Pelodiscus sinensis: one gene and its partners. The protein of the gene in region 1 purifies or fractionates together with the protein of each later gene. This does not show direct contact. Links are inferred from orthologs where the notes say so. Each region holds a gene or a part of one and is shown in the gene's direction. Other genes may lie near its edges. The genes, in order: CAMKV, NAF1, GPATCH8 and PNISR.

What was found.
Region 2: the proteins of CAMKV (region 1) and NAF1 purify together in Homo sapiens (affinity purification with mass spectrometry; 3 studies listed by BioGRID and IntAct, with this or other methods). This does not show direct contact. The link is inferred for Pelodiscus sinensis from reciprocal best matches to the Homo sapiens genes CAMKV and NAF1.
Region 3: the proteins of CAMKV (region 1) and GPATCH8 purify together in Homo sapiens (affinity purification with mass spectrometry; 3 studies listed by BioGRID and IntAct, counting the BioPlex papers as one, with this or other methods). This does not show direct contact. The link is inferred for Pelodiscus sinensis from reciprocal best matches to the Homo sapiens genes CAMKV and GPATCH8.
Region 4: the proteins of CAMKV (region 1) and PNISR purify together in Homo sapiens (affinity purification with mass spectrometry; 3 studies listed by BioGRID and IntAct, counting the BioPlex papers as one, with this or other methods). This does not show direct contact. The link is inferred for Pelodiscus sinensis from reciprocal best matches to the Homo sapiens genes CAMKV and PNISR.

The regions. Positions count from the first base shown.
Region 1 is NC_134721.1:45,788,237-45,796,237, forward strand, and holds the start of CAMKV (caM kinase-like vesicle-associated protein), read left to right. Parts: upstream 1-4,987; 5' UTR 4,988-5,152; coding exon 5,153-5,174; intron 5,175-6,189; coding exon 6,190-6,298; intron 6,299-8,001. UniProt on the Homo sapiens protein: Does not appear to have detectable kinase activity.
Region 2 is NC_134715.1:62,155,649-62,163,259, reverse strand, and holds the start of NAF1 (H/ACA ribonucleoprotein complex non-core subunit NAF1), read left to right. Parts: upstream 1-4,609; 5' UTR 4,610-4,805; coding exon 4,806-5,455; intron 5,456-7,611. UniProt on the Homo sapiens protein: RNA-binding protein required for the maturation of box H/ACA snoRNPs complex and ribosome biogenesis.
Region 3 is NC_134739.1:1,370,181-1,377,097, forward strand, and holds the start of GPATCH8 (G patch domain-containing protein 8), read left to right. Parts: upstream 1-3,902; 5' UTR 3,903-4,012; coding exon 4,013-4,057; intron 4,058-6,917.
Region 4 is NC_134713.1:70,399,729-70,406,827, reverse strand, and holds the start of PNISR (arginine/serine-rich protein PNISR), read left to right. Parts: upstream 1-4,080; 5' UTR 4,081-4,210; intron 4,211-7,099.

The DNA.
Region 1 (8,001 bases):
GCTATTGTGTCTTGCGCTGCGGCGGCGTGCCTTAAATAGCTGCTCGGCGCTGGGGGCAGGGGCTGCGCGGGTGCGCGTGCGTGTGCGTGTGCATGCACGGCGGCCCTTCCCCAGTCTGCTTGGGGTCTCTAGCGTACCAGGAACATGGACCGACTCACTTGGCCCTTCCTGCTCTCCGCCACCACGCGCCCATGGCAGAGTTACGTTCCCGCCCAGCCTAGGGGTATGGGGTCGTTGCCCTAGGCCATCCATAGGGCCCGATCACACTCGCTACTCAGTGGGGGGCACGTGGCCCCTGGTGGGGCGTGCAGGATACTCATGTGCCACCTTACTGGATACTCTCAGATTGAGCAATAAAACCCCAGTCACCCCGCCCCCGGCTCCCCAGAGCCCCCGGCCTGGGACCGGCCCCGCCCCCGGCTCCCCAGAGCCCCCGGCCTGGGACCGGCCCCGCCCCCGGCTCCCCAGAGCCCCCGGCCTGGGACCGGCGCTGAGCTGCTGGGTCTGTAATTACAGCCCGAGAGCTGTCCTGTTTCCCCGAGGCGGTCTCTTCCCTTAGAACGTCCTGTGCCCCCTCTTGTCCCTGGTCCCGTTCTCCTGGCGTGGCTGCCAGCCGCTTTCCTGGCGGGAACAGTCAGCCCTAGCGGGCAGCGCTCCCCTTTGCTGGCTGAGGACCAGATTCCGTGCTCGCTTTGCCCCCCCAGTCCCTAAAGGGGGCCCTGGGCTGGGCAGCTCGTCCATGCCAAGTGCATGGCAATGCCCCCTAGCCTGGCTGTGCAAGGCCGCCCCAAGGGGCATGATGCTCCCCCTAGTGGGGCAGCCTGGCAATGCAACATCCCCTCTGGCAACTCGAAGGCCTGGAGGAGGTTCCCGCGCTGGCGCCTGACTCGGGGGGCACAGTCGGCGGCAGACTCAGCCAGGAGGGAGCCAGGGGCTCTCGCCAGCCTGGATGTCATCCGGCCCCGCTGTCTCGTGCGGTGCAGGCGGTGTGACAGCCCTGCGAGGGGTGTGGGCGGGAAGAGCGGGGGAGGGGGACTGGCGGCTGTTTCCGCTGCGCACGTGCACAGTGAGTGGGCGATGTCTGTGTGCGTCGTTCTGTTCCAGGGTTAACGCCCGGCAGCCAAGGGGGCGGGTGTGCCCGGCTACTGCTCGGGGAGCTGCGATCGGCCCTTGGGGCGCTCTTTGTGGCGGCTGAGTCAGCTGTGCAGGGCAGGTTCTGGAGCAAGCGCTGGGCTCTGCAAACGAGATCCAGGCTGGCAGGCCGTGTCCCCCTCGCCAGCTCTAGTGGGTGCGTGTCCTGCGGTCCCCTGAGCGCCACCCGGGGCTGTGACGGGCAGTGGGGTGCCTGCCTGCTAGTGACTGAGCTTTAGCCAGCAGAGCTATCCTGCCCCCTCTTACTGGTCCTGACCCCCCGACCCCTCGGCCCAGCTCCGCACTGGCCGGATGGGGCTTTCCTGGCAACCGGGAGCGGAGCCCCGCTTCTCTGGCTCCTGCCCAGCACTCTCCGGGGTGGGGCTGGCTCTCCCTGGGCTGCCCAGGCCTGGCTGCCTGGCTCCTGCAGATGGGCCCCACGGCGCTGAATTGGGGCCGTTGCTCACGCTGCCCCATGATCTGCCTGAGAGGCAGGCGCCTTGTGCCAGCTCAGCCTGCCTGGGCAGCAGGTGGGCGCGAGGCAGCTGCTAACTCTGCCCTGTACGTGGCGCCAGGCTGCGTCTCTCCCGCTGCCCTGCCTGCTCCCTCTGGGGCCGCTCCCACGTGCTGTAGCTCACCCGCCTGCCCTGTGCCGCCGGCTCCTCCGGGCTCTGCGCTCTCCTCCTGGGGTGGAGGCTGGCCAGGAGCCTGCAGCGGAGGCCCCGGAGGGCCCCGAGGCACTGACGGCAGCAAGCAGGGGAGCCCGGGCTGGGCCGGCCGAGAAGAGGGCGATGGGGGCAGAGAAGCAGCTGGCCCAGGCCCTGCTTTGCGGGTGTGTTGGCTGCCAGCACAGCCCCGCCAGGGAATGAACTGGTCAGACGTGGTACCAGCCCCAGTGCTGGGGTGACGTGTAACCTCCTTTCCCTGCTCGTGGGCCGGGGAACCCGCTGCCCCTTCCGGGCAGGCGGCTGAGGGCATGGAGAGGGCTGGGCCATTGGGGGCAGCTCCCGCTGGGCCAGGCCCGCAGGCTGCCGGGGGCCCAACCCCCTGTGGCAGGGCCCAGGGCGAGTGCCCCTGCTGCCTGGCGTGGGACAGGGCCCTGGATACCACCGCCTCCCCCCAGAGCTGGGCACAGCCTGCCCCCGGGCACGGCATGCTGCACGTGAGTCCCAGACCTTGCAGTGGCACCGGGCCCCTTCTGACCTTGTCTATGGGGCGCATCTGGCCCCACGTGTCCTCTCCCCTCCTGCCCATGGGCCCCCCTCCCCCGCTCCCCCTCCCCCAAGAACCGGGCACCTGACTCTTAGTGGGCCAGGCTGGTACATTAGTCACTAGAGCGAAGGAAAAGGGAAGCCCCTGCCCCGCCCTTGGCTCCGCTCTGCCCCCCCTCCTCTGCCCCCTTCGGCCCCGCTTTGCTGTTCCCTCACGTCCCACTCGCCGCCTGCCGGGGCTGTCCTTCCCACGCAGCCAGGAGAGCTCCCTGGCCCCCTTTGCTGCCCCGTGCGCCCAGCCCCACAGGGCATCGCTGCGTGGTTCCAGTGACTGCTGCCCGGCAGAGTCAGAGCTCCAGCCACGCCAGGCCAGACCCCCAGGACCGCCCCCCCAGCCTGGTCCCTGGGCCTGGCGAATCCCTCACTCGTGGTGGCCGGCCCCACACCCTCTCCTCTCCCCGGACCCCTTGCTGCCAGCTGAACCCGTGTACTGCCTCCTGCCAGTGATTTGATCCCTGGCTCCCTCGGTCTGCAGCTCCTCCTGACGCAGCATGGTGAGGGCCGGGGACAGGTTGCTTGCTATGGCATTTCCTGCACAAACAGCAGCTAATCTCAGAGGAAGATGGGGGGCTCCTCCCACAGTGTTCATGACTTATCCGCAGGCGTTGCTCCCAGGAGCTTGAGGTACAGGCCATCCCCCCATGTGGCTCCATTAGTCTGCAGCAGTAGTAGATTGTTATCCCCTTGTGCAGTGGCCCTGGATCCTTCCCCAGCAAGAACCTGCTCTCGCTAGCAGCACGGGGGCTGCCGTCCAGGCTGAGACCCCAGAGCTCATGGGCCAGCGGGGGATGACGGGTACCTTTGAGCTCGGCTCTCTGCGGGAGCGGTCAGCTGCCATCTGGATGGGGCAGGGGTTCACCCACCGCACGGGCCCGTGCAGTGCCAGGTGCCAATGGCAGGCCACTGACTTGCTCGGGCGTGGGTGCTGGGATGGAGCCGGCCGCTGCCCAGGAAGCACGTCGGCCTGGGGTAGGGTGAGCGGGAATGAGCCAGGGCAAGGTCATTGGTGCCGAACAGCTGTCCAAGTGGGAGCGCAGGTCGCTGGATGGGGGAGGGCAAGGGGCAATTCTCCAGGAGCCAGGGTGATGAAGGGCCTGGGAGCCGCTGTTGCCGGCAGCACAGCAGGGCCAAGGCAGGCAGGGGCGGCCCGTGAGCTTAGGCAGACTAGGCGGTCACCTAGGGCGCCACTGGCCTGGGGCACCCAATGATGACGTCACCGGGTGCCCGATGGGTACGTCACGGCCATTGGCAGCCGTACAGCGGGGGTGCCGATCGCGCCTTCCACCTGGGGCATCAGCTGCTGCAGCCGGCCTCAGGCCGCTCCCGAAGGCAGCCTCCTGCTTCCCTTGCTACACGCTGCTCCCGGAAGTAGCCAGCCCATCTCTGCTGCCCTCACCATGAGCTCTGACTCTGCAGCTCCTATTGGCTGCAGTCTCCAGCCAATGGGAGCTGTGGGCATGGAGACTCCCCCCACCCCCAGCCATCTAGGAGACACTTGGGTGGCTCCCAGAAGTGCCAGCCTAAGGTAAGTGCTGATCCTCTGCCTCCCCCCCAAGCTCCTAATCTCCCGCCCCAGCCTGGAAGTGAGTGAGTGAGGGGCGGGGGTGGAGTGACAGGGAGGGGCCTTGGAGGGGTGGACGAAGGGTGTTGCCTCGGGGAAGGGGTGGGGGCAAGGGTCTGTGGGTTTGCACAACAAGTAGGAACCCACCAAATTCATGGTCCTTTTTGGTCAATTTCACATCACAGGGTTTTAAACAGTCGGTTTCATTGTTTCAGCTGTTCCCATCTGAAATCTCAGGGTGTTGTAATTGTAGGGGCCCTGACCAGAAGGAGTTGTGTGTGGGGGTGCAGTACTGCTAGCCGTCTGCCCTGCCACGGGTGGGGTGCTGCCCTCGGGGCTGGGGGCCAGGCCCACCACCACCACGCTCGGCTGCCCAGCTGTGAAGCCAGTGCAGATGTAAGGGTGGCAATGCTGTGACTCCCCCTCCCCCAAAACAACCTGGTAACCCCCGGCCGCTCCCTCTTGGGGTCAAGAGCCCAGTTTGAGAGAGGCTGGGGGCCCCGGGAAATCTGCATGCTACAGGCTGGAAGCGCTGTGGGTTTGGTAGGGCCCTGGCCATCAGCCGGCTGGCAGCCCTGGCCCAGCACCCCCAGCGTCAGGCTTGTGCGGATGTGGGGGGGGGGGCCGTGCCTGGCTCGCGGCAGGCCAGGGAGGGAGCGTCCCGCTGCAGAGCCAGCCAAGGGGCTGGCTCCAGGGCTGCTTGAGCCCGGAGCAGCTGGAAATAAAACGGGGCCCATCAGTCGAGTGATTCCAGCCGGACTGGCCCCAGTCAGCTGTTCAGTGGGGCCCCGGGGCCAGCTGGAGGCATTGGGGAGGGGGCCCCCTCTTTGCTCCTCCCTAGCCCACAGCAGGAGGGGAGGGGAGGGTCTGGGCCAGGGTCTCAGCACCTGTTTGCTGGAGGCGGGGGGAGGCACAGTGCGTGCTGCTCTGGGTACAGGCGCTGAGCCTGTTGCTATGGCAATGGGAGTTGTACAGAAGGATAAAGGCAAGTCTGTGAGGAGGGGGTGGGGCCGGCTGAGGGAGCAAGGGGGTCGGGGCTCTGGTTCCCGGCCTGAGCTGCCCCGTGGCCCTGCAGCTGGGCTGTGCGGGCAGGGCATGGCCCTGGGCGCTGCTGCGGGAGTCGCCCAGCCCAGCCCCTCGTGGCCCGGCTAGCGGCTGCCCCGTGCTGCAGCAGGCCCAGTGCCAGGGCATGGAGCAGGCCGGGCGGAGAGGTGCCCACACGGGGCCTGCAGCAGGCTGGGCCGCGCGGCAGAGCGCCCTGGTCACCACGTGCCCAGGCTGGCATCCCGCTGCCCGGCAGAGCGCTGGGAGCCCATGGGCCCAGACACAGCAGCGGAGGGGGGGGGGGAGACGTGGGAACCAAAGGGCACTGCCAGAGGGTTTCCCACCAGCTTCCTCTAGCCAGAGCCGGGCTCCGCAGGGAATGGCCGGGGGAAGGGGGGGGGGGGGGACAGAGCCAAGGGCCCGGCCGGCTGCCTGCTGGGCCGTGCGTCCGGGTCCCACGCGGTGCGGCCATGGGGCCCACAGAGACCGCTCCACCGGGGCAGGCTTGGGCACGCTGGGTCTGCCTGGGCAGGGCTGGGATCGGGCACCCAGCGCCTGCCTACCCTGGGCAGAGGAACCTGCCGTGCTCCGGGCCGTTGCAGTGGCTCTGCGGGCGGGTGTGGCTGGCGGCCCTCACTGGGTGTTGGGCTGGTGAGCAGACTGGCAGCCCCCTGCTCAGTGTCAGCACGAGGGGGAGCAGTTTCCTCCTGGCAGCTGGGCCACCAGGCTGGTGAGCGCAGGTGACAGGGCACAGACCTGGCCTCAGTCAGCCCCACTCCACGGCAAAGCTCCCAATGATCGTTTCCACCCGTGTGGAATAAATTTGTTTTGCGCACCAAGGCTTGTGCGGATGTGCACCACCAGCGCTCTGCCAATCAGCTGAGCCGCGCTGGACTCTCTCCTGGGGAGAAGCCGCGAAGTGGTGGGACTGCACGGAGTGAGGTTTGACCCCCTGCGGGGCAGGAAGACCCCAGCAGGGAGCTGGCACTCTGCTTTGGAATGGGAAATGGCCGTGCTGGGGGGAGGGGACTGCGAAGGAGCCCTGCCTTAGCGGGGCAGGAAGTGCCAGAAAGGCCACTGGCAGCCGGGGGGGCCTGACCAGCAAGGCCCGGAGGAAGCAGTGTGGCCCAGTGGCAGGGTCATGCAAACGCCCTCCTCACTCGCTGCTTCTCTGCCTTCCAGCACCGGCCCCGGCGATGCCGTTTGGCTGCGTCACCCTGGGAGACAAGAAGGATTACAACCAGCCATCCGAGGTGACGGACAGATATGACCTGGGACAGGTCATCAAAACGTGAGTCTGGCCCGGACGCCTCCGGCTGAGCTTGCCCGGCCCTGTGTGTGTGGGGGGGTCCTCTGAGAAGATGGGGGGGGGGGGGGCCGTTCACAGGCGGACCCTGCTGTAGCTTTTCCCCTGATCGTGAGATTGGGACGATTCTGCCCCCAGCACCGAGTGCTGCCGCTTCTGCGGAAGGCGTGCAAGGGGCTGGCTGCAGAGAAGTGCTGCGTGAGGGGCCGGTGAGCCTGGCGGGCTGAACCCAGGAGTTTCTGTGGCTGCGGCGGGTGGCGACTGCAGGGCCCAGGGAGCGCACGGCACCGTGCGAGCCGTCCACGTACCCGGGCGTGAGTTCCGACAGCTCAGCGTCACAGGAAAAGCGGCAGCCTCTGGTTCTCAAGGCTGGGAGCCGGCGCGTGGCAGCGGGGCTCCACTCGCATCCAAAGAGTTTGTGGAAGTGGTGTCAAACGTGCCGTATCTGCTCCTTCCTGTCGCGGCCCCGCAGCTGCACGGCGTGTCTCCAGTCCCACCCGAGACAGCAAGGCTTCCATTTGCGGACAGGATCGTGCCCATTCTACTGTAAAGCAGACCCCTGCGAAGATGCTTTGGGGCCAGAATTGAAGAGCACCTGGACTTTTAAACTGCAGAGGGAGTTCCCAACACACTGCGGTGAAAGGACGACAGTCACACCCGAGCGCACAGACTACGTGGAAGCCTGGAGTGATTCACAGACCAGTCCCCTGCCTGGCTGGGAAGAAGTCATAGAATCCTAGAATACTAGGACCGGAAGGGACTTCGAGAGGTCATTGAGTCCAATCCCCTGCCCTCATGGCAGGACCAAATACTGTCTAGACCATCCCTGATAGACATTTATCTAACCTACTCTTAAATATCTCCACAGATGGGGATTCCACAACCTCCCTGGGCAATTTATTCCAGTGTTTGACCACCCTGACAGTTAGGAACTTTTTCCTAATGTCCAACCTAAACCTCCCTTGCTGCAGTTTCAGTTTAAGCCAATTGCTTCTTCTATCCCCAGAGGCCAAGATGAACAAGTTTTCTCTCCTTATGACGCCCTTTTAGATACCTGAAAACTGCTATCATGTCCCCCCTCGATCTTCTCTTTTCCAAACTAAACAAACCCAATTCTTTCAGCCTCCTTCATAGCTCATGTTCTCTGGACCTTTCATCATTCTTGTTGCTCTTCTCTGGACCCTCTCCAATTTCTCCACATCCTTCTTGAAATGTGGTGCCCAGAACTGGACACAATTCTCCAACTGAGGCCTAATCAGTGCAGAGTAGAGTGGAAGAATGACTCCTCGTGTCTTGCTCACAACGCACCTGTTAATGCATCCCAGAGTCATGTTTGCTTTTTTTGCAACAGCATCATACTGCTGACTCATATTCAGCTTGTGGTCCACTATAACCCCTAGATCCCTTTCTGCCGGACTCCTTCCTAGACAGTCACTTCCCATTGTGTATGTGTGAGACTGATTGTTCCTTCCTAAGTGGAGCACTTTGCATTTGTCTTTATTAAACTTCATCCTGTTTACCTCAGACCTATCCTCCAGATCAGTCGCAACCCCTCCCAGCTTTGTATCATCTGCAAACTTAATAAGCGTACTTTATATGCCAATATCTAAATTGTTGATGAAAATATTGAACAGAGCCGGTCCCAAAACAGACCCCTGTGGAACCCCACTTGTTATACCTTTCCAGCA
Region 2 (7,611 bases), on another chromosome or scaffold:
ATGGGTAACAGGCTTCAAACTAGTAACAGAAAGCTGTTCTTCACAAAGCACAGAGTCAACCTGTGGAACTCCTTGCTGCAGGAGGCTGTGAAGGCTACAACTAGAACAGAGTTTAAAGGGAAGTGAGATCAAGTCATGGAGGTTGGGTCCATGGAGTGGTATTAGCCAGGGGGTAGGAGTGGTGTCCCTGCCCAAGGTTTGTGGAAGGCTGGAGAGGGATGGCACGAGACAAATGGCTTGGTCACTGTCTTCGGTCCATCCCCTCCAGGGTCCCTAGGGTTAGCCGCTGTCGGCAGACAGGCTACTGGGCTAGATGGACCTTTGTTCTGACCCAGGACGGCCATTGTAAGCTCAGGGCTCAAGGTCGGGGTCTCAGTGGACCACCTTGATTTTCACGCACTCCTGCTCCTGGGTGGCCAGGCTGGCAGCTCTCCTGCCCTAGCTGGCCACATTCCAGTGCCTATTGCGGAGATCGTGGACAAGGTCCACGATGTCCGCACTAGCCCAGGCGGGTGCCCACCTCTTGCGGTCCCGGGCAAGCTCCCGGGAGCCGCCAGCCTGGTTCCGGGAAGAGGGGGAGGGCTGGGGAGCATCGGGTGGGTGGCTCGATTCGTGCTAGGTGCAGGGTTTGCTGGCTGGGTGCTGGCAGGCTTGCACCTGGCACAGGCACCGTAGCCAGCCCGTGCCCCTTTAAGAGGTACGGGGCCGGGAGGGGGGCAGACGAGTTTCCCTGGTGTTGGCCAGAGTGGCCACCAGGGAAACCTGGGGAGGGCTAGCCTCCCACTAGTTCGAATTAAGGGTCTACACAGCCCTTAATTCGAACTAGTAAGTTCGAACTAGGCTTAATCCTCGTGGAATGAGGATTACCTAGTTCGAACTAAGCGCTCCATTAGTTCGAATTAAATTTGAACTAACGGAGCGCTAGTGTAGCGCCTATGAAAGTTCGTTCGAACTAACGTCCGTTAGTTCGAACTAACTTTGTAGTGTAGACATACCCTAAGTAAGTAAAAGTTACGGACTTTGGAAACAACTATGAGCCCTTCCTCTCTCCAAAGGGGACATGCCTGAGGAATTGTGTGTTGGGGGACAAGGGGAATGTCTCTTAGGGGGGCGCACAGGCACTAAACATTGGATGGACACCAGTGATAGGATCAGGCTCATTGTTTCCTGTCTTAAATGATCCTATGAGTTCTCTGAAAGGCAATTCAAATGTCTGTGGAGCACGCTATGTCAAGCTTCCAGCATGTTTTTTCTCATCATGGATATGATGGGATTCACAGTCTCAGCAATAGTCTCAGCTTGGCTAGCTGCTGTAGGAGGAATTTGAGGAAGTGGTGGTACTCCCAGACAGAATTTAGCAACAGGCAGTGTCCAGAAGTGTTCTGCTACCAGGTGGACTATAGTACATTGAGTACATTGTCCATTTCACTCTGCACATTTTTATTGCCTGTGCTGTATCTCCATTTGTAGGACACAGGTCATTATAGCCTCATCCTGGCTAAGACTTTTTTCTTTCTTTGCACTAAAACTCAAACTTCTCCTGATTCCTTGTGTCTATGCCAATGAGCAAGTCTGCCAGAGTCCTCCTCTGTTGTATTCTCTCTCTATTGCTGCTGCTGAAGCCCGGAAGAATGGTTCCTCTGTTAGCATTGGAAAGTCCTTTTAAGTAAAAAGAAATGTAGCGTTACATTTCATTTTTTTTCTCTTGGAAGATACTTGTTTCTTTCCACATAAAGCAACTATGTTGTGAAAGGCCATAATCACAGAACAATAGAACTGGAAGGGACCTCAGGAGGTCATCGAGTCCAGTCCCCTGCCCTCACGGCAGGACCCAGTACCATCTAGGCTGTGTCTAGACAGGCAAGTTTTTCCGCAAAATCATCTGCTTTTGCGGAAAAACTTGCCAGCTGTCTACACTGGCTGTTCGAATTTCCGCAAAAGCACTGACGATCTCATGTAAGATTGTCAGTGTAGCCAGACAGACCCCCCCCCCCCCTCACATCCATCTTATTTGCCTCTCTGAGGTTCCTGAAGCATACAGGGCAGAGAAGGAGCAATAAAATCAGCATAGTCTATGCTGGCTCATCTGATCCTGAGAAGCTGAAAATATAGATGTGAGGAGAGAGCGATTAAGGCAATAAGCTGACCTCGAGGCTGCGAGAACTGCCCCGGCTGGCACCCATGTTGATACGATCACACACAGTCATCCCTGGGAGAGGAATCTCCCACTGAGAAAAGAATGCCCAGTACTTCCAATTTAGTTATCTCTCTTACAAGTGTAAATTAAGTTCACAACTCCCTTGTAATAACTGGTCTCACAAAAGACAGACCAGCACCATTTGGCATCACAGATAAGAAAAAGAAATACGTGACCCTATGGGTATAAAGATGGGTCCAGCAGCACACTCACTTTGAGTGTCAATCTACCCTCTACCTGCTGGTCAGGTTAGGTGTTTTGACCTCCCGAGGTTCCATGGGGACGCCCACCTCGTATTTTCGTCTTTCCTACGAATTGAGGGACTGGCCCTGGCCTGACACACTGGAGTCGAGAGGCACAGAAGGGGGTAAAAATTGTACCTGGATGTGGTCCTCTGTCTTAAGTGTACACATAGACTTAGAACTCTTTAAAGATTAAGCTGTTACTTGGTACTATTATTTCTATTTTTCTATCTTTATCTTCTTTGTAACCATTTTTAAGATCTATATTTGCTAGCAGTTAAGAAATAGAGCAATAGCCATTGTAACCATATGATTTATAAGCTTCTTTAATAAACCTGTAACTGTTTAAGTTTTAACCTGACTCCTTCAGTTGCTGTAACAGAACCAAGCACAATTTAAAAGAACTTCAGCCGGTCATAAGGGACAGGTATAGGAACACACCCTGCCCTGACCGTCGGCTGACAGTCAGTGCTTTTGCGTAAAAACTATGCTGCTCCCGCTCGGGCAAAAGTCTTTTTCCAAAAGACTTTTGCGCAAGAGGGCCAGTGTAAACAGCACAGTACTGTTTTCCGCAAAAAAGCACGTCTAGATTGGCCACGGACGCTTTTCTGCAAAAAGTGCTTTTGCGGAAAAGCGTCCTGCCAATCTAGATTTGCCTTTCTGAAAATGCTTTTAACAGAAAACTTTTCCGTTAAAAGCATTTCCGGAAAATCATGCCAGTGTAGTCATAGCCCTAGAGTATACCATCCCTGATAGATGTCTATCTAACCTGCTCTTAAATATCTCCAGAGATGGAGATTCTACAACCTCCCTAGGCAATTTATTCCAGTGTTTAACCACACTGACAGTTAGAAAGTGTTTCCTAATGTCCAACATAAAGACCCCTTGCTGCAGTTCAAGCCCATTGTTTCTTGTCCTATCCTCAGAGGCTAATGAGAACAATTTGTCTTCCTCCTTGTGACACCCTTTTAGAAACCTGATGACCACTATCATGTCCTCTCTCGTCTTCTCCTTTCCAAACTAAACTAGCCCAATTTTTTCAGTCTTCCTTCATGGGTCATGTTCTCTAGACCTTTAATCATTCTTGTTGCTCTTCGCTGGACCTTTTCCAATTTCTCCACATCTTTCTTGAAATGTGGTGCCCAGAACTGGACACAATACTCATGTAAACTCATGGATGTTCAGCCATTTCTTGCTCTTGGAGGAGTGTGGGGTCCCAGAGGCATGTGGTACAGGAGCAAAGAGGATATCATCTGAGAGGGAGTGGGTCTTTTTAAAACTGACAGCACTGGTCAATGTTTGGTTCCTGCCACTGCTCAAAGTCCTTCACTGGAGAGACCTCCCCACAGGCTGGCGATGCAGAATAACATGCTCCTCTCCCTTTGGGCCCTTCTCTAAGGCTATGTCTAGACTATGGAGTTTTTCTGGGATAACAGAGGTACCTCAGAAAATCTCTGCCGCATACAGGGAATGCGTCTACTCTTCCGACATTTTTTTGTGGGAGAGGAGACACGCTCTTTCGGAGTCCTGCCTTCCTCGTATTAGGAAGAAGGGCTCTTCTGAAAGAGGTTTTTCCTTTGTTTGTCCCAATGTAGACAGCCCAAATTTCGGAAAAGCCTCTTCCGACAAAACAATCAGAAAAAGGTATGTGGGGCACAATTTGCGTATCTTTTTCCGATTAAAAGCGGCAGGCTAGACATAGCCTAAGATGCCTCACCCTCCTTCTCCTCTGTGTCCCATGATGCGAGCAGCCCAGCAGGGGTGAGGAGAGTCTCACTCACCCGGCTGGGCTCGGCACCTGCAGCTCTGGATGTGGGCAGCAAAGGGCACAGGGCCAATGGCCAGGCAGGCCCGCCACTGCCTGTGAGCCGAGGCCCTGCTTTGGAGCTGAGAGGGGCGGGCACGGAACCATGCGCGGCGGGGGCTTTGCGCGCGGTCACACAGCAGCACCCCTGGCCCATTGTCAGGGGATGGGGGGTGTCCAGGCAGACACTCTCGGACGGGGACTGGGGAGACCAGGCTGAATGCTGGACCCGCCTCCTGATTGACAGGCGCCGTGGCTCCGCCCCTGCGACTGGCAAAAGTGCCGAAAGGGAGGAGGAAGAGGCACCCTTAAGGAGCTGCTTCCCCGACACTCGCGGGGGGGGTTGATTCTTTGCGCATGCGCGCATAGCGAATAAGGCGGGGCGAGAAGACGCTGGCGCCCGCGGGCTGAATGCGCACGCGCCGCCATTCCTTCCGGGAGAGTCGTTTCGCTTCACCGCTTCTACCGCGCGCACGTGTGTGTGTTTGTAGAGGAAACCGGAAGTTGCGTTTGGAAGGGGCGAGAAGCGCGGCCGTTAGGCACGCGGGTTGCAGTGGGAGAGATGGAGGTCGTCGCGCAGCTGGAGACGCTGAAGTTTGACAACGTGCCGGCTCCGGGGAGTCCCAGCGCTTTGGGGCCGCAGCTGGAGCAGGGCCCCGGCGTTAACGAGGCGCGGGAGCCCGGGGGCGGCGAGGAGCAGGGCCCCGGCGTTAACGAGGCGCGGGAGCCCGGGGGCGGCGAGGAGCAGGGCCCCGGCGTTAACGAGGCTCGGGAGCCCGGGAGCGGCGAGGAGCAGGGCCCCGGCGTTAACGAGGCGCGGGAGCCCGGGGGCGGCGAGGAGCAGGGCCCCGGCGTTAACGAGGCGCGGGAGCCCGGGGGCGGCGAGGAGCAGGGCCCCGGCGTTAACGAGGCGCGGGAGCTCGGGGGCGGCGAGGAGCAGGGCCCCGGAGTTAACGAGGAGCAGAGTCCCGAGGGCGGCGAGGCGCGGGAGCCCGGGGGCGGCGAGATGGAGGTCGTCGCGCAGCTGGAGACGCTGAAGTTTGACAACATGCTGGCTCCGGGGAGTCCCAGCGCTTTGGGACCGCAACTGGCGCAGGAGCTCGGGGGCAGCGAGGCGCGGGGCAAGGCCTCGCCCCCTGCGGCCGAAGCAGCCCATGGCGCTGAGGGCTTGCAGGAGGAGCAACCCGGGGAGACAAGCACCGACTCGGACAGGTGCGTAGCCCGTGTTAGTCCCTGTGCCGGCCGCCCACGCCCACTGCCGTGCCAAGCCCGCCACCGCTACTGGCCCTCGCCGCTCGGGTCGGGTCGCTCTTGGCAGTAGCAGCGGCGGTGGACCTGAGCACGGGTTTTGTCAGTTTCACCTTGTGCGGCTTGGGGAAGCGCTGGGCAGCAAGCAGAACCCTGGGCCTGTCAATATGCACTGTCTGGAAATTGTTATCGCCCCGTTCACGTGTATTTCAGTTGTTCTGGTTATCCCGGTGTACTCTTGTGCTTTGTCCTCCACGTTCTCACAGATATGGGATTCCCTGTGGAAAGGAGGAGATCTGAACATACATGCTGAATATGTGAAAACTCAGTTAAGAAAAAATTCAAGACAGGATGTAACTGTCTAGTGATTGGTATTAAATGGTGTTTTAAGACCAATCCTAATATCTAACTTTTGTGCAATGGAGAGGCTTTACAATGGTCCATCTAGCCTAATATCATGTCTTCTGACAGTGGCCAGTGCCAGAGTCTTCAGGAGGAATAAACAGAACAGGGTTTCACCCAGCGTTCTATTCTGTATGATCCACTCCCAGCTTCTGGCGAGCAAGTTGTGGACACTCAGAGCATGGTGTTGCACCCCTGAGCCATCTTGTCTAATAGCTGTTGATGGACGTATCCTCCATGAGTTTATATAGCTTTTTTCTGAACCCTGTTATGATTTGGACCTTTACAACATTCCACAGGGTGATGGTGTTGTGTGTGTGGTGGTTCTGTTTTAAATCTGCCACCTACTGATTTAATTGGCTGATGCTTGTCGGATTTTCTTATTTACTTTCCATACCAGTCAAGATTTTGTAGACATCTATCATCTTCCTTTAATCATCTCTTTTCCAAGCTGAAAAGTCAGTCTTTTAAACTTCTCATACCAAAGCTGTTCCATCCATCTAACCATTTTTGTTGTTCTTCACTAAACCTCTTTCGATTATAATACAGGTTGAACCTTTCTAGTCTGGCACCCTCGGGACCTGACTGGTGCCAAACCAGAGTATTTGCCAAACCACAGGAGGTCAATATTGTCTAGCAGCATTACCAATACTTTCATTGCTTACTGGACTCTTAGAAGACATTTTAGGGATTAATTAATGCTAAATACAGTCACCATTCATGGCTCTCTGTTAAACTGTATGAACCACAGGAAACTTGGCCACACCCTTGATAAAGTGGATATCTGGCTAACTAAAACCATGCTGGACCACGGATGTTGGTGGACATACAGGTTGAACCTCTTTAATCTTTTTTTTGAGATGATGTCCAGATTTGCATGCAGTATTAAAGATGTGGACATTAGGGATGTAAGAGTTTAGATGGTTCTAGTTACCAGTTAAACTCCTCCCATGGCATGGGCCTCTAGCGGGGTAAAAATTACTGTTTAAATGTCTCACTGATTAAATTGTAATCAATTAGATGGTTAGTATTTTTTAATTATTTTTACATCCCTTGTAGGCATGCCAGGTATCTATATAGAGGCATTATATTTTCTGACTTCTCTGTCCCTTTCTTAATGGTTCCTGATATTCTGTGTCTACTTGAGTTATAACTGTGCACCATAAACTTTTTGAATTGCACTGCTTCTGTGTGGAAGTCAAAGTGTTGCTTCTTACCTATGAAGTCTAATGGCTTAGGACTGGCTGCTTTAAAGACATCTTGTGCTTTGTGTACCTTTCTGACAAGGTAAATAGAGAAGCCATTTTCAGGAGGTTGTTGCTGGTTGTGAAACTTGTTCCTTATCTGTAAGAACTGGGAGTTATATTTTGCACTATGTTCTGAAAGTATCTTTTGGAGCAAACATTTGCTTGACTGGGCTAGACTTCATGTTAATGTTTTTGTTGGTTGTAGAGGAATGATGGCTGTGTTCTCTGCAGCTGATAGTTTAATAAGTGTAATGTTGTCTTATGCCTAAGTTATAGCAATAGACACTTAAAACACCTTAACACAAATTTAATTACAATAGTGCAAGCCTAGTAAAATGGGGCCTCAGTCAGGGCTATATAAACACTTGTAGACCCAATACATTTACAATCTAAGAAATATAATTGTCTTGTCCCATTGCTGGTAACTGGCCTGTTGTGCCCTTTTTTGAGTTAGGATAATAGATTTAAGTA
Region 3 (6,917 bases), on another chromosome or scaffold:
CCTCCTGGCCCTAGTGGCAAGACCAGCAGCATGGCACATACCAGGCCTGAGCTTCCCTCTCTAGCCACTGCCCCTCCCCTGTGCCAAGGCATGCCTGCCCTAACAAAGCCGACCCAACCAGACCAGACCAAGGTGCTTCTCCAAGAATCAGCCCTGGTACCTTCCCCGCTGAGGACCTAACTAAGGAAGGTACCTCTGCTGGGCAGCTCCTTATATACAGGGCTGCCCCCAACAAACTACACTCTGATTGGTTACTTAAAAGCCTCTCCCTCATTGGCCAGGGCTCTGCACAGGCTCTCTGCAATCACCCCACCGCAGCGTGGGATGGGCTTGCTTCTCATAAAACCAAACAGAAAGGAGACAATCCTCAAAGCAAGTACAAGTTCTAAAAGTGACGTAACAGAGCGAACGTTCCCAGCTCCTACTGCCTCTTAAATTGAGGAGCCGCAGCAGGGTTTGTGCCAGGACTGAGCCTGGGCAGCCCCTGTCCATGTGGGGGGAGGGGTCCCAGCGGGGAGTCTGGACCCACCCCGCAGAGAGGGGCTGCTGCTGGTCCAGCCTAGGCCTGCTGCAAGCACATGCTGCTTCACGGCAGCCTCCCCTGGTCCCCTGCCCCACGCTGCTGCTTCTGATAGAGGCAGCACTGAGGGGGGAGCAGGCGGCACTGCGGAGATGGTGCTGGGGGAACTGGCTTTTAAGCTGGCACCCCCCAGCACTGGCTCCTTGCTCTCCTCCCCCCACCTCTGATACAGAGGCAGCAAGGTGCAGAGGGGGAGGGGGGAAATTGACTTGACTACCCAATAAGCCTAGGCTGACTGGGCCGTGGACTACTCGCTTAAATCCCTAATTTGGAGCAGTGCTCTGTTTTGGAACAGCTACATCAATGCTGAAGGTTTGCAAGCTACAAGAAAATGTTACTGGAAATTAAACTGAAAATGTTACTGGAAACTATGTTTTTGTTTACGAAGATGAAGAAACAAAATACGCCTGATGAAACTCCCAAATTACAAACCTGAGCAATGCTGGGTAAATCCAGTGGCATAGATCTGCAGGAGCTGCATGCCTCATACCCCTCCCATCTCTCTCCTTCTGGCCCCACCCCCATCAGGGTTCCCTCTAAGGTGTGTGCCTGTGCAGGTGGGCACTAAACATTTGAGCCCACCCACCTCTGCAGAAGAGCTGTGCAGTGGCTGCCATATGGTGAGTGGCTGCCCCACTCCAGAAGCAGCAGGGCAGCCACCATGTGGCCCTGGCCCTGTCTTTAGCCCTCTCCAAGGGCTGGAGCTGCAGGCTGTGTGGCAGGTGGAGGCTGCTTTGACGGCCCCAGCCAGGGACAGAGACAGCACATGTGGCAGGTGGCCCTGCTTGGGGCCAGAACGAGAACATGGGGCCAGAACATGTGGTGTGGAGGCCCAGGGCTGCTCCTCTGGTCAGGGCATCCCTGGGACCAGGAACAACTTCACTGCAGCCCTGGCAGCCACCTGCCACATGGCCCACCCTGGGAGCAGCCAGCTGGAGCTGGGGCCAGGGCGACGTGGTGGCTGCCCAGCTGCTCCTGGGGTGGGCAGTGTGGTGGCTGTCAGAGTTGGAGCTGCAGCTGGGGGCACGCTGCTCCAGGGTTGGGGGTGTGCGGCCAGGGTGTCAGGTGTGGAGTGGCCACTGGAGGAGTTGCATTCTCCCCACCCCCCATGTGGAAGGACAAACAAGGCGTTGATGGTGGTGGAGGGCTGGCCAGTGAATCGGGCAGGGGCTGCAGCGCAGAACAGGGAGAACGAGGCCAAGAGCTGGCAGGGCCCTGCAGAGTGCAGCAGGGAGGTGGCCCAGCTCAATTTGGTCACCTATAGCAGGGGTGGCCAACCTGTGGCTCCAGAGCCACATGCGGCTCTGCAGAAGTTAATATGCGGCTCCTTGCATAAGTACCAAATCCAGGCCTGGAGCTACAGGTGCCAACTTTCCACTGGGCCAGAGGGTGCTCACTGTTCAACCCCCAGCTCTGCCTTAGGCGCTGCCCCTCCATCCTTCCCCCTAGGATCCTGCCACTTCCCAACTTCTCCACTGAGCCTGTCACACCCATGCTTCCCTTCTCCCGTGTCCCCCACTGAGAAAGAGCTGATCGCAGGAGGCAGGCGGAAGAGGAGGAGGCGGCACTGCCCGTGGGTGGGGTGTGCTGAGAGCGGCCATGGAGAGATGATCAGGGCTGGTGACCGAACTGTGGCTCTTCGGCAATGTGCATTGGTAAATTCTGGCTCCTTCTCAGGTTTAGGTTGCCCATGACCTACAGCATGTGCAGGCAGCACATCCAGAGCCAGTGGCCCAAGCTGCTGCCCTGCCTGCACTACTTGACCGCTACCTCATGCTGCCCCCCCCCACTCTCCCATCGCCTTGCCTGAGCACCACCAAGGAACTACAGCCTCCTGCGTCCCCTCCTCGCTGGTCCCTTGGCCGACCTCACCCCTGCACTGCACTCTGGGTAAGTTGTCTGTAATGGCATGTGCTTTTTATTGTACAGATCTATCTGATCTCTCTAGTACTATGCCAGTAATTTATCCAAAAAATGGGGAAGACAGTTTAAAAATTGTACAAGTTTTTTTTTTTAAAGTGTAAAAAAATAAGCCATTCTGTAATAACGTTGGTAGGCCCCTTATTGGTATTTTTGTTCTATGAATATACTGAGTTTGATAGGTGATTAGATAGTGCTGGAAATAGGGGAAGCAGGAAGCCATCCCTCAGCAAATTAGGATTGGTAAGGGACAGTGTCACAGCTATTTCCTCTGAATATTTTACTTCCTCCTTGCCAACCTGCAAAACTACACTGACCCACAAGAAAGCGGGTGCTGTGACTGAAGGGCAGAGATTGTGTGAGTTTAATGAAAGGTGTATCCCCCCAATAGCACCTTATCAGGAACTAGCCCTTAGAGACCTTTGTTGTCACTGACTTGGTTACATATTAAGTTCCTTCTAGGCTGCAGCAGCAGCCGGGCTCGGTGTGCCTGCTCCTGGGGCCAGGGCCACCTGCATCCCGCAACCGTCTTTCCTCCCCTCTCCGCCCTCTGGCCCTGAGCCTCCCGCCCCCTTCCACGTCCTGCCCCCTTCTACCCCTCAAGCCCCCCCACCAACTGCAAACCTGGGCACTGTGAGAGTCTCTTGGGGAGCAGCGCCGGGGCGGGGGTGTGTGTCACAGTGGCACCCATCCACGCAAGCACCCAGGACCTACTGGCACCCAAGACAAAACTCACTCCACTGCTGGATGGAAAATCTTAGAGGGAACATTGCCCATCCCCCCAGCTTCTCCCCCCCCATGCTCCTCCCCCCTCAGCTTCCTCCCAACCCCATGCCCCTCCCCCCTCAGCTTCTCCCCCATGTCCCTCCCCCCTCAGCTTCCTCCCAACCCCATGCCCCTCTGCCCCTCCCCCCTCAGCTTCTCCCCCATGCCCCTCAGCTTCCTCCCCACGCCCCTCTGCCCCTCCCCCCTCAGCTTCTCCCCACCCCATTCCCCTCTGCCCTTCCCCCCTCAGCTTCTCCCCCCATGTCCCTCCCCCTTCAGCTTCCTCCCAACCCCATGCCCCTCCCCCCTCAGCTTCTCCCCCCATGCCCCTCCCCCCTCAGCTTCTCCCCACCCCATTCCCCTCTGCCCCTCCCCCCTCAGCTTCTCCCCCCATGCCCCTCCCCCCTCAGCTTCTCCCCACCCCATGCCCTCCGTGCCCCCCAGCCTGTGCTCCTCCCCCATCTATCCTCCCCCCCATACCCCTCTGATCCCTCCTGCCCCTCCCCCTCGGCCTTCAGGCTCCCCTACCTCCCGCCCCTCCCCCCTCTCTATTCCCCCGCCCCGCGCTCACGCGCCTCCCCCAATCCCGGGCGCAACCGCTCTGAGGCCAGTGCGCCTGCGCGCGGGCGGAGGCGGGCGGGGCCGCGCGGCGCGCTCCCGCGGCATGACGAGGCGCGCTCCCGCGGGCGGGCGGCGCTGAGAGGCCGAGGCCGGCGGGGGCGGCTGCGGCGGAGACGGCAGCAGAAAATGGCGGACAGGTTCTCCCGCTTCAACGAGGACAGGGACTTCCAGGTAACCCCCCCGCGGGGAGCCCCCCCGGTCCTGTTCCCCGGGGGGGTCCCGGCCTCCGCGGCCTGCGCTGCCGGGCTGGGCCGGGCCCGGGGGCGCCTCATCCGGCCCGCGGGCGGGGCGCTGCGGGGACAGTGGCTGGAACCCTCGGCCTGGTCGCAGCCCGCCTCCCGCCCGCACGGCCAGTGGCCTCGTCCCGGCGGGCTGGGGGAGTGCGGGTCGGTGGAGCCGGTTAGTCTGGGGCAGCCGGAGCAAAACGCAGGGCGATGCAGCGCTGTGCAGACTAACCAGATGGTTTATTGGGCGAGGAGCTTTCGTGGGCCGGACCCACTTCCTCAGATCAATAGTGGAAGAAAATCGTCACAGCCAGATACACCAAAGGATACAATTAAAAAATGCACCCCCCTCCTGTTCTGCAATGTGATTGGTCCTTCTCATGCGCACTATTTGATCTGAGGAAGTGGGTCTGGCCCACGAAAGCTCATCATCTAATAAACCATCTTGTTAGTCTTTAAAGTGCTCCATAGCCCTGCATTTTGCTTGGGTTTAGTAAAGTGGAACTTCAGAAACCTAGCATTACAGAGGGGAGGAAGATAATGTCTTCGTATTTAAAATGCCCCAATTCCAAGAGTAAGAGTATTGAGAATTTTTTAAAAGAATGTAGCAAGCAGAAACAGAAACAACTCAAAGGGGTAAACATCCATGAAAAGAAGACTTAAATATTGACAGTGAAGTTTTTCAGAAATGTATTCATCTTGGTTTCTCCTTCAAAAAACAACAAATCAGTATGTGTCTACACTGGCTTTCTTCTTTGATCATTTTGATTCTGTTGTTCTTGATGAATGCTACAACAGATCAGGGTTTCTAATGAGAGACTTTTCAGTTTCCTGACTGGGTTATCTCGCGTTCTTGTCCAGTTCTGAGCTAGTTTCCTGCTTCCCTACAGAATGGTATTTACACTTCTATATGGGGAAAACAAAAAGACCATCCATGTTTCTCCAGCTGTCTGCTGCATGTGCTAAAGACCCTGCCTTACTGGGAAAGTGCATACTTTATTCTTGTATAAAAATTGATATATTCTTTCCATAAAATTAACACTTGCTACCGGGTGTTCAAACTGTATTAAAAAATTCACTTTAAATAAAGATCAATTTAAAAACGGAATTGGCATTATTGTTTTACAGGGCATGACAATTCATGTTACCTAGCCGAAGCATGATAGATTCTATTTTATTGTAAAACACAGTTATTAAGTCAATGTCAATTAGAGGGCATATATTAATTAACTTTTACTTATGAGATCATCTTTATGTTGACTGAAGGTTCTTGAAATGTTTTGTACCTATATACTACTGCCTTTCATCTAAGCCTGAAGATGACCAATCAAAACCCACACAAATCTACTTAATGCATTCAGATTACACATTAAAAAAACAGGAAATACACTAGTAATTTCAGTTTGAGGGGTAGCCGTGTTAGTCTTTTGTAACTTTAAAAACAACCTAGTCCTGTGGCACCTTGGAGACTAACAAATATAGTATCATGAGCCCTTGTGAGCAAAACCCACTTCTTCAGCTGAGATGATCTTAATGACTAAGAAAAATGTGTCACTAAGGTGCCACAGGACTGCTAGTAATTCAGTCATACAATGTATGTTTTACTACATAAAACGTGTTTTTAGCTAGAAACCATAAGAATGGGAAATAAATTGTGCAAACGTAGTGACTTGACTTTGCTTTGTGAATTTTAACCATGTGCTTTAAATGCTGCCTTAACATAGACTTTTTGCATAATTTCCTTGTTTTTCCTCAATTTAAAAAATACTTTATATATAAATGATCCAATTAGACTTTCTAGTTCATTTCTTGGTGGGATTGATTTCTGCCATTCAAGGAGGCTTTTTAGTTGAAAACAGTGTAGGTCATGAAAAATTGCAAAATTCAGCCAAAAAAATTGCTCAAACTTGGGATGTTACGTGTGTATTTTGTTAATTGTGTAGTTGACAAAATTTTGTCGACTACACGATTAATCGGTATGTGTTTGCATTTCAAGTGCTCAGTCTCTGCTCTAGTTGGGTTCCTTCAACTACCCCTGCTGTGGCTCTGAACTAGAAGCACATCAAGAGCTGGCACGTGAGAAGGCCAGCTCAGTCCCAGCAACTACTGCAGCAGGATTAGTTGGCTGGGACCTGGCACGAGCCGGTACTGAGGCAGCCTGCCCACGTGCTGGCTCCTGGGTCCCATAATAATGCAGAACAGCAGCGGGGATTGCTGCCAGGACCCGGCCTGAGTCTGGACTGAGCTAGCCTATGAGCCAGCCTGCTAAAAAAATTTACTTGAACAACATGGAGGGGAGGAGGGAGGGACTGCGTGTAGCCGATAGCATTAACTGATAAAACACCTGCTTATCGGTCAATCGTTTAATCGACTACACTATTACATCCCTAGCTCAGACTTAGGGATTCTACATTTTTTTTTCTGTGCTTGCAATTTTCTTTCTTTCCTGTGAAGGGAGTATTTTTATACATTCCTTACTGCTTCATTTCCCTGGTTATACTGGCAAAATGTCCTGTTGAAAAGGATGCGGATCTCCATTAGTCCTCAGCTAAAATCAGCTAATCATGCTCAGATCACTATTGAATATAAATGTTATGTTCCTACAAAGCTAAGAAAAGTCTTTGCTCTTTAATGAGGACTACATTAATGCTAGGTTTCTAGCTCCAGCCACTTTTGCTGCATCTTAAAAAATAAAGTGGTGTTGTTATATTGAAGTAGAACTTTTTTCCCTAGCCTCTCCCAAAAATTACAAATTGCTGAAGGAAAAGTTTTCCCTCTCAGTGGGCGTGGGTGGATATCAATTGCCT
Region 4 (7,099 bases), on another chromosome or scaffold:
CGTGCTGCCCCCAGTCACCACTTTCATATCGTGTCCCTGGAAACAGCAACCTCTCCCTTTGCATGATTGGAAAACAGTCTTTTCCTGTGACATTCTGGTTCTCCTAGCACAACCAAACCCTGACCTTGCCTTAAGTTAAAAGAGGAAGCTGCATACCAAATTTGGTGGCCCTACTTCTTACTGTTTAGGAAGAGTTCCTGAACAAATGGACTTGCAGAGACACAGATACAGATGCACTCTAATATACTGAGAGAGATTTTAATCATTATCTGTGAGGGAAAGGAGTCCTGGGCTTTAATGCCTAACAGACACAAAATCACCAAGCTGTTTTTCTTGTTATTTAAATAAATGTTTGTGAGTTTATCTTACTGTCTCACATTCTCCCTTCCTTTCAGTAATCAAATGGGACCTTTTGATAGCCCCTTGAGCTCACCATACCAGTCCCAGGTATATCAGATCCTGTTACCTTTCCTTTTTCAGATACATATGCCATGTCATCAATGCCTGGTCCCGTGTCATCACAAACTGTTGGGTACTGAGCATGGTGGAAATGGAGTACACCCATATTTCTATCCCGATTTCACACCCTTCCTTCCTATTACTCATCAGGAATCCTGCAGATGCAATTCACAAGCAAATTTTGGTCCAAAATGTCAAAAGAGCTATGGAAGAGGTTCCACAAAACTTAAGAGGAAAGGGATTCTATCGCCCATTATTTCCTAATTCCAAAAGCCAAGGGTAGTCTCAAACCTATTGTAGACCTGCCCCACTTCCACAGCTAGATGCCCTGCCAAAGTTTTGCATGGTTTCCTTGGCTTCCATAATTTCCTCTCTGGATCATGGGGATTGTATACTGCACTTGATTTAAAGGATATCTATTTTTACATATAGATTTTCCAGCACTACAAAAGGTTACTTAGATTTGTTGTGAGCTTCGCACACAACCAGTCCATGGTACTCCTATTCAGCCTACAGACTGTTCTGTGGGTTTTCATCAAATTAATGATGGTAGTGGAGGTGGTTTTGTGGAAACGAGAAGTACATGTCTGCCCATATCTTGGTGACTAATTAGTTAAAGGCAGAGTAGAGTCCAGCATCCATCTCATACAGTCGCTTTTCCAGGCCTGTTACTGGTGTTCTTAAACCCAAAACTCTCGTTAACGATTACTCTTGTCAAGGTGGTGGCAGGAAATAAATCACACACAGCTGTCCAACTGACAGACTAGAACAAACAATATGGCTGTGTCTACATTGCATGCTTCTTGCACAAGAACAGCTGTTCTTGCGCAAAAACTTGCCGGCTATCTACACTGCACGCATCTTCTTGAGCAAGTAAATTTACAGTATAGCATCGGAAAACAGGGCTTCTTCTGGAAGAGTTATTCCTCTCCCCATGAGGAATAAGCCCTCTTGTGTAAGAGCTCTTCCACAAGAAGGCAGTGTAGACAGGCAACATGAATTTCTTGCACAAGAACCCCCTATGGTTAAAATGTCCATCAGAGCTTTCTTGAGGAAGAGAGCATCCACACTGCTATGGATGCTCTTGTGCAAAAGCACATGGCAGTGTGGATGCACTCTTGTGCAAGATTTTTTACACAAGAAGTTCTTGTGCAAGAAGCCTGCAGTGTAGACCTAGCCTGAGTATGCTCTCATCGAAAACTGCACTTTTAGTATTGAGTACTAACAGATGTTCACAAGTGATTAGTAAAACACCTCAGAAATCAATAATTACTGAAGTCTGGAGTAGTTTTCCACACTTCGGGTAGTTGTCGCCACGACAGCCATACAATTGGCCAGTTTTTCAGGTACTGTAGTTGACCCTAAGACGTGTCCACAAAGTGTTCCTGAAAACTCCTTCTAGACCATACTTTTTTTACTATTTAATTGGGATAGTGTAACAAAAACATGTCAATTAAAGAAATCCCCTAATAGACACCTTTGCTATCCAGATCAACAGGAAGTGCCACTCGTGTTGTTCATGGCAAAGTCACTGCCCAGGGTATCTCTTGGATGCTTTCCTGCTACCATGGATAAATCAGCTGTATTATGCTTTTCCCCTATTCTGCTAGTCCATGAGGTTCTGATGAAGATCAAGCGCAACTGGGACTGAATCATTTTCATAGCTCCAGCATGGCTAAGGCCATGCTAGTTCACCACTGCTCTTTCGGTGGCAGCCCCACATCTGCTTCCTTTACATCCAGACTTGATCACAGTCGGTTGCCCCATCCAAACCTTAGCTCTCAGTCTGGGAGAGGAGGTGATCTGGTTTTGTTAGGTAGTAAGAAGCTCTCTATCAAGGTTACTTACCTTGCAAAATAGAAGCAGTTCTCCATCTGGTCTTCCTAGAGCCCAATTTCGCTGTCACATTCTTCACTCCAGGTGTCTCTTCTCCTGTGTGATGTCTGTTTCCTGAAGGAGTTAGCAGTTATACCCTCAGATTAGAGAACCCATTCCTTCCTGGAACCTAAACCTCATCTTATCAAAGCTTATGTATTCCCCATTTGAGCTGCTAGTAACATGCTCATTAACACATCTTTCTAAAAGATGGCCGCCTCAGTGGTCATCACGTCAGTCAGAAGGCTGTTGGAGCTCCATGTTTCACATCAGAACCACTGTACCTTGATTTTTTTTTTTAAATGATAAGGTGCACTTACACCTGCAATCTCTTTCCTCCTGGAAATGATTCACAGTTCCATTGCAGTCAAGCAATTTTCAGTTTGGTTTTCTGCCTGAAACCGCATGTGAATAGAGGAGCAATGTCTTCACTCATTAGATATGAGGCAGGTCCTAGTGTTCTACAGAGAAAGGACTGAGACATTCTATAGATCTAGCCAGCTGTTTATAGTGGTAACTAATAGGCTTGGAGGCCTTCCTCTCTCTGCTTAGAGAATTTTATTCTTTGTATTATGATCAGGCAGGTGCTCCGCCTCCAATTAACCTGATCATTTGTTCTATGAGATCGCAGGCATTGTCAGCTGCTTTCTCAGTGCAGGTCCCTATTCAGGACATCTGCAATTTGGGCATCAGTGCACATTTTCTCAGCACGCGACCTCATCATTCAACAGGCCAGAGATGACACCAGCTTTGGCTTATGGCAAGAGTATCTATGTAAGGAAAGCTATAGGTTGTGGTTGTCTGGGTGTAGGAAGTGTAGAGGTTGCATGTATGTGTGTGTAAGAGGATGAGTTATGGTGAACAGAGGTGTGTTTTAGTGAAGAGAAGGATACAGGATGTAGCAAGAGGTCTGTGTGCAGCAAGGAGTATGGAATGAGACAAAAGTGTGTCTGCCTGGAGGGAAATGGGTTGGGGTGGGAATGTATACAAAGAGGAAGGTAAATGTTGATGGTGTACCTGGGGAGAGGGTTGAGGGATCTGTATGGTACAGGTTGTGTGGGTGAGGAATAGGGGCTGGTATAGGGTGGCTATGAGAAAGGGGGTGGTGTGAGATGGCTGCGAGGGCGGATATAGGTCGGGGTGAGGTGGGTAAGGAATGAGGATTGTGGGAGTGGGGCGGGTACAGCATGTAGTGGGGTAGAAAGTGTGGGAGGATCAGGGAGGAGGACAGGCGTTGTGTGGGGGTGTAGGGGCTAGGTAGGAGCGTGACAGGTCACGGTGAGGGAGACTGGGTGAAGCGGGTGGGGTGTGGTGATGAGGCTGGGGGAGCGACGGAGTAGGGGGCGGCACGTGGCAGAGATGGAAGGGGGCACAGGTGAGGCTGTAGGAAAGCAGCATGGAGTGGGGAGGGGAGAGAGGCTGAGGAGTTGATCGGGCGGCTGTTGTAGCTCAGTTCAAGATACCTCCCGTTGCCCAGCAGCAGCGTTTTGCGGTCGCTGCCGAAGCCACAGGGGTTTCTCCGCCCTACGTTGTAGGCGTGACAGCGGTGCAGTCACCCTCGGTAGGCGGGTTAGGCGTGGAGCTTGCCCTTGCTAAAGATGGCTGCAAGCCTCCTTCCCCTTAGTAAAGAGGGCGATTGCTAAGGCGTTGCCGACGACCAGTCTGTTGCCCACATTAAAGATGGCGGCCGAGAGCGTTCACCCTGCCCAGGAAGCGGTCAGCTCAGTGACGCACTTTTCACTACCGGGTGAAAGCCAGCGGGCGCCATGTTGTCTTGTTCGTGAAGACGAGGAGTAAAGGGGGGAGGAAGCGGTGGTGGCGGTGAAGGAGACGTCGCAGCTCCGCTTGTGACCGGCGGGGGGAGGAGAGGGCGCATGTAAGTAACTGGGCGGGCGGCGCTTCTCGCAGAGACCGGGGGCTGCAGCGACCGGCACCGCCGCCCCGCGGAGCCGAGGGGGGAGGAGCTGCAGGGCGCTCGGCGCGGTTGTTCGAGTAGCTCGTGGCTAGCGCGAGGCTCCCTCTGCCCTTGGGGGGGATTTACGTTCCGATGAGGAAAAGCATCTTGCACCCCCGTGGCGGTTGGCACTTGCGCATGCGCTGCGAGAGAGAGCTGGGGTACAACCGAGGTGACTGGAGAAAGTGGTCCCCAGTTTCTCGCGGTGCGCATGCGCTGCTGTCCTGAGGGTGGGCGGGGGGATATGCAAGATACTGATGGAGACGGGTCTCATAATCCCGTATTGCGCATGCGTGAGTGGTCAACTTGGGCAGAACCCAATGGGCTGGAGCGCGTGGCACACGGTGCTATGCAAGCGGGAAGGGAAACCCTTTGTTGATGTCTCTGCCGTGTGCCTGTAGGCGTGGGAGACCTGCCCCTTGTGTCCAGGGCTGCTTCTGAACCGTAGTTGAGCCATCCTGGTTACTGGTTTGCATACACTCAGGCTGTGCTGTGTTTAGGTCGCAGAGACGGTTCTGCCTCGGGCTGTGCCTTGTTCACTTGCAAGACAGTGAGTAGCAGTAGAGCTAGGTTCATGGTCTGCCTGATGGAAAAACACAAACCCTTCTTTTTTTAGCTTAAAGAGAGCTGCTTCAGCTGCTAGCTGTAATACTTGTTGATACAGTGATGTAGTGTTATTTTGGTGCGCTAATGACCAACGCATGAATACTTACGAGTGAGGTTTTTTTCAGTAACAGCCTTAGGATTCTATAACTGGTAAATTAACAGGATAACTCTTTTAAATGCTTAATATGAAATATATATTGTGTTGCATCTTCACTTCTGATGATCATTACATTCATGGCTCCTAAGGAGCAGTATTACCAATATTATAATTTGCAAAATGCCTATACTTAGTTGAACAGCTCAGCAGAGATGTAACTTTTCTAAATGCTGTAATCAGATCTCAAGCTTTCAATCTTTACTCCTGTTGAGTGAGTAATACTTACACTTGCAGTTCCATGGAGCGGGACTGCTTGTGTGAACACAAGCATCAGAAGAGTAGCCGTGTTAGTCTGAATCTGCATAAACAATGAGAAATCCTGTGGCACCTTACAGAATAACAGCTTTATTGGAGCATAAGCTTTCGTGGTCAAAATGCATCTGACAAAGTGGATGTTTGCTCACGAAAACTTATGCTCCAATAAATCTGTTAGTCTATAAGGTGCCACAGTACTTCTCATCGTGTATGAATACAGTAAATCTTTATGTAGCACCCATTTTTTACATATCATAGTTTTGTTTTAGTGACCTATTACTTTTATGTTGTGTGTACTATTTTTATGTAGCATGCTCATGATAGAGGGCTTTGGGTATAGAGGGAGCTCAGAGCAAGGAGATGGGGCACTAGAAAGTGCTCCTCATGCCTGCTGTTCCTGGCAGAGATGTGGCCAGGGTGGCTCTATGCGCTGCCCCCCTCCCTCCCGGAGTGTTGTCTATGAGCAGAGGCAACATGCAGAGCCGCCTGGTCACATCTTCGCCTCCTGCAGACACACGGAATCCCCTGAGGTGAGCACTCCCCAGAACTGGTACCCCGTGATCCCTCCCAAGTCCCACACACCCAGCCCTTAGGCCCCCAACTTGACAATTTTATCATTTATGGGAATGTAATACTGTTTTTCCTGTTTATTCTTAGTTTATATTGTGCATTTTCGTATACACACAGATTTCTAGGAACATAATTACCCTGATGTGTAAGGATTTAGTGATGTACTGCTTGCTGTGAATAAGGACTGAGGGTTTGGGTCCTTAATTATGTAGCCGTTGTTCCACTGAAAACTGGGAGCTGTCTGATTTGGAGAAATGTAACCTCATAGTGTCTAATGTATTATTTCTTCTGTTACTATCATGCTTGTAATTGTCTTCTCTGAAATACACAATAAAAGCCTTCCGCTCAGGATGGGGAGGAATGTAACATGTTCTTGCTTTAAAATGAAACCCCCAGTTTCAAGCAGGTTAGGCCTTTGATTTGGTTCATCCATATGCAAAGTAAGATTTTGTAGGGGCAGGTGCCTCCAGTTTCTTTCTCTCCTTCCGGGGTTGGCAAATCAGGTATGAATTCATAAGGTTACTATTGACAGGTTACATTTTGCCTTGGGCCTTGGATGGGTTTTACATTTATTTTGCTAGCCAAGTATTGTAAGAGTTCCCTTCTTTGGTGCACAGATATTACTTATGTATCTAGCAGTGTACCTCATCAGTATGCTTGGTTTCGGTAGAAAACAGATTCTTCAGGAAGCATATTACAGTCTAAAAATAGACTGATCGTACTATTCAGAAATGCAGTATGTTAGATGATCTCTTGAAAAATCCAGTGCCAGTTCTCTCAATTGGGATGTCTTGTTTTCACTTCTTTGTGCACCCATCAATTTTTTTCTGAATGTTTTCTAAATTGAGTAGAATTTTTACCACAACTTTTAAAAAAAATCTTGTGTAAACTTACAGTCCTGCAGCTGTTTATATATCAATGTAATCATCTATATAAGAATTTAAGAAGAGTTTTGATATGTTTGTTACATTAGTCACAGATTTGTGAGGTTATGTAATCCACAGACAGGTGAAGAAATATGGCAGGTTATGGTGACTTGAAATTACCTGAGTGTGTTCATCTTTATCTCACCAAACATCAGAAAATGCATATAAGACAGTGCAGTTGTCCATTTTTTGCCCTCTGTTACAGAGGCAGCTTCGCGAGGCTGCAGCTGGCTTCCTGGGAGCCAATGCACACCAGGAAACGGCTTTTAAGCTGGCTCCCAGCACGCACTGGCTCCC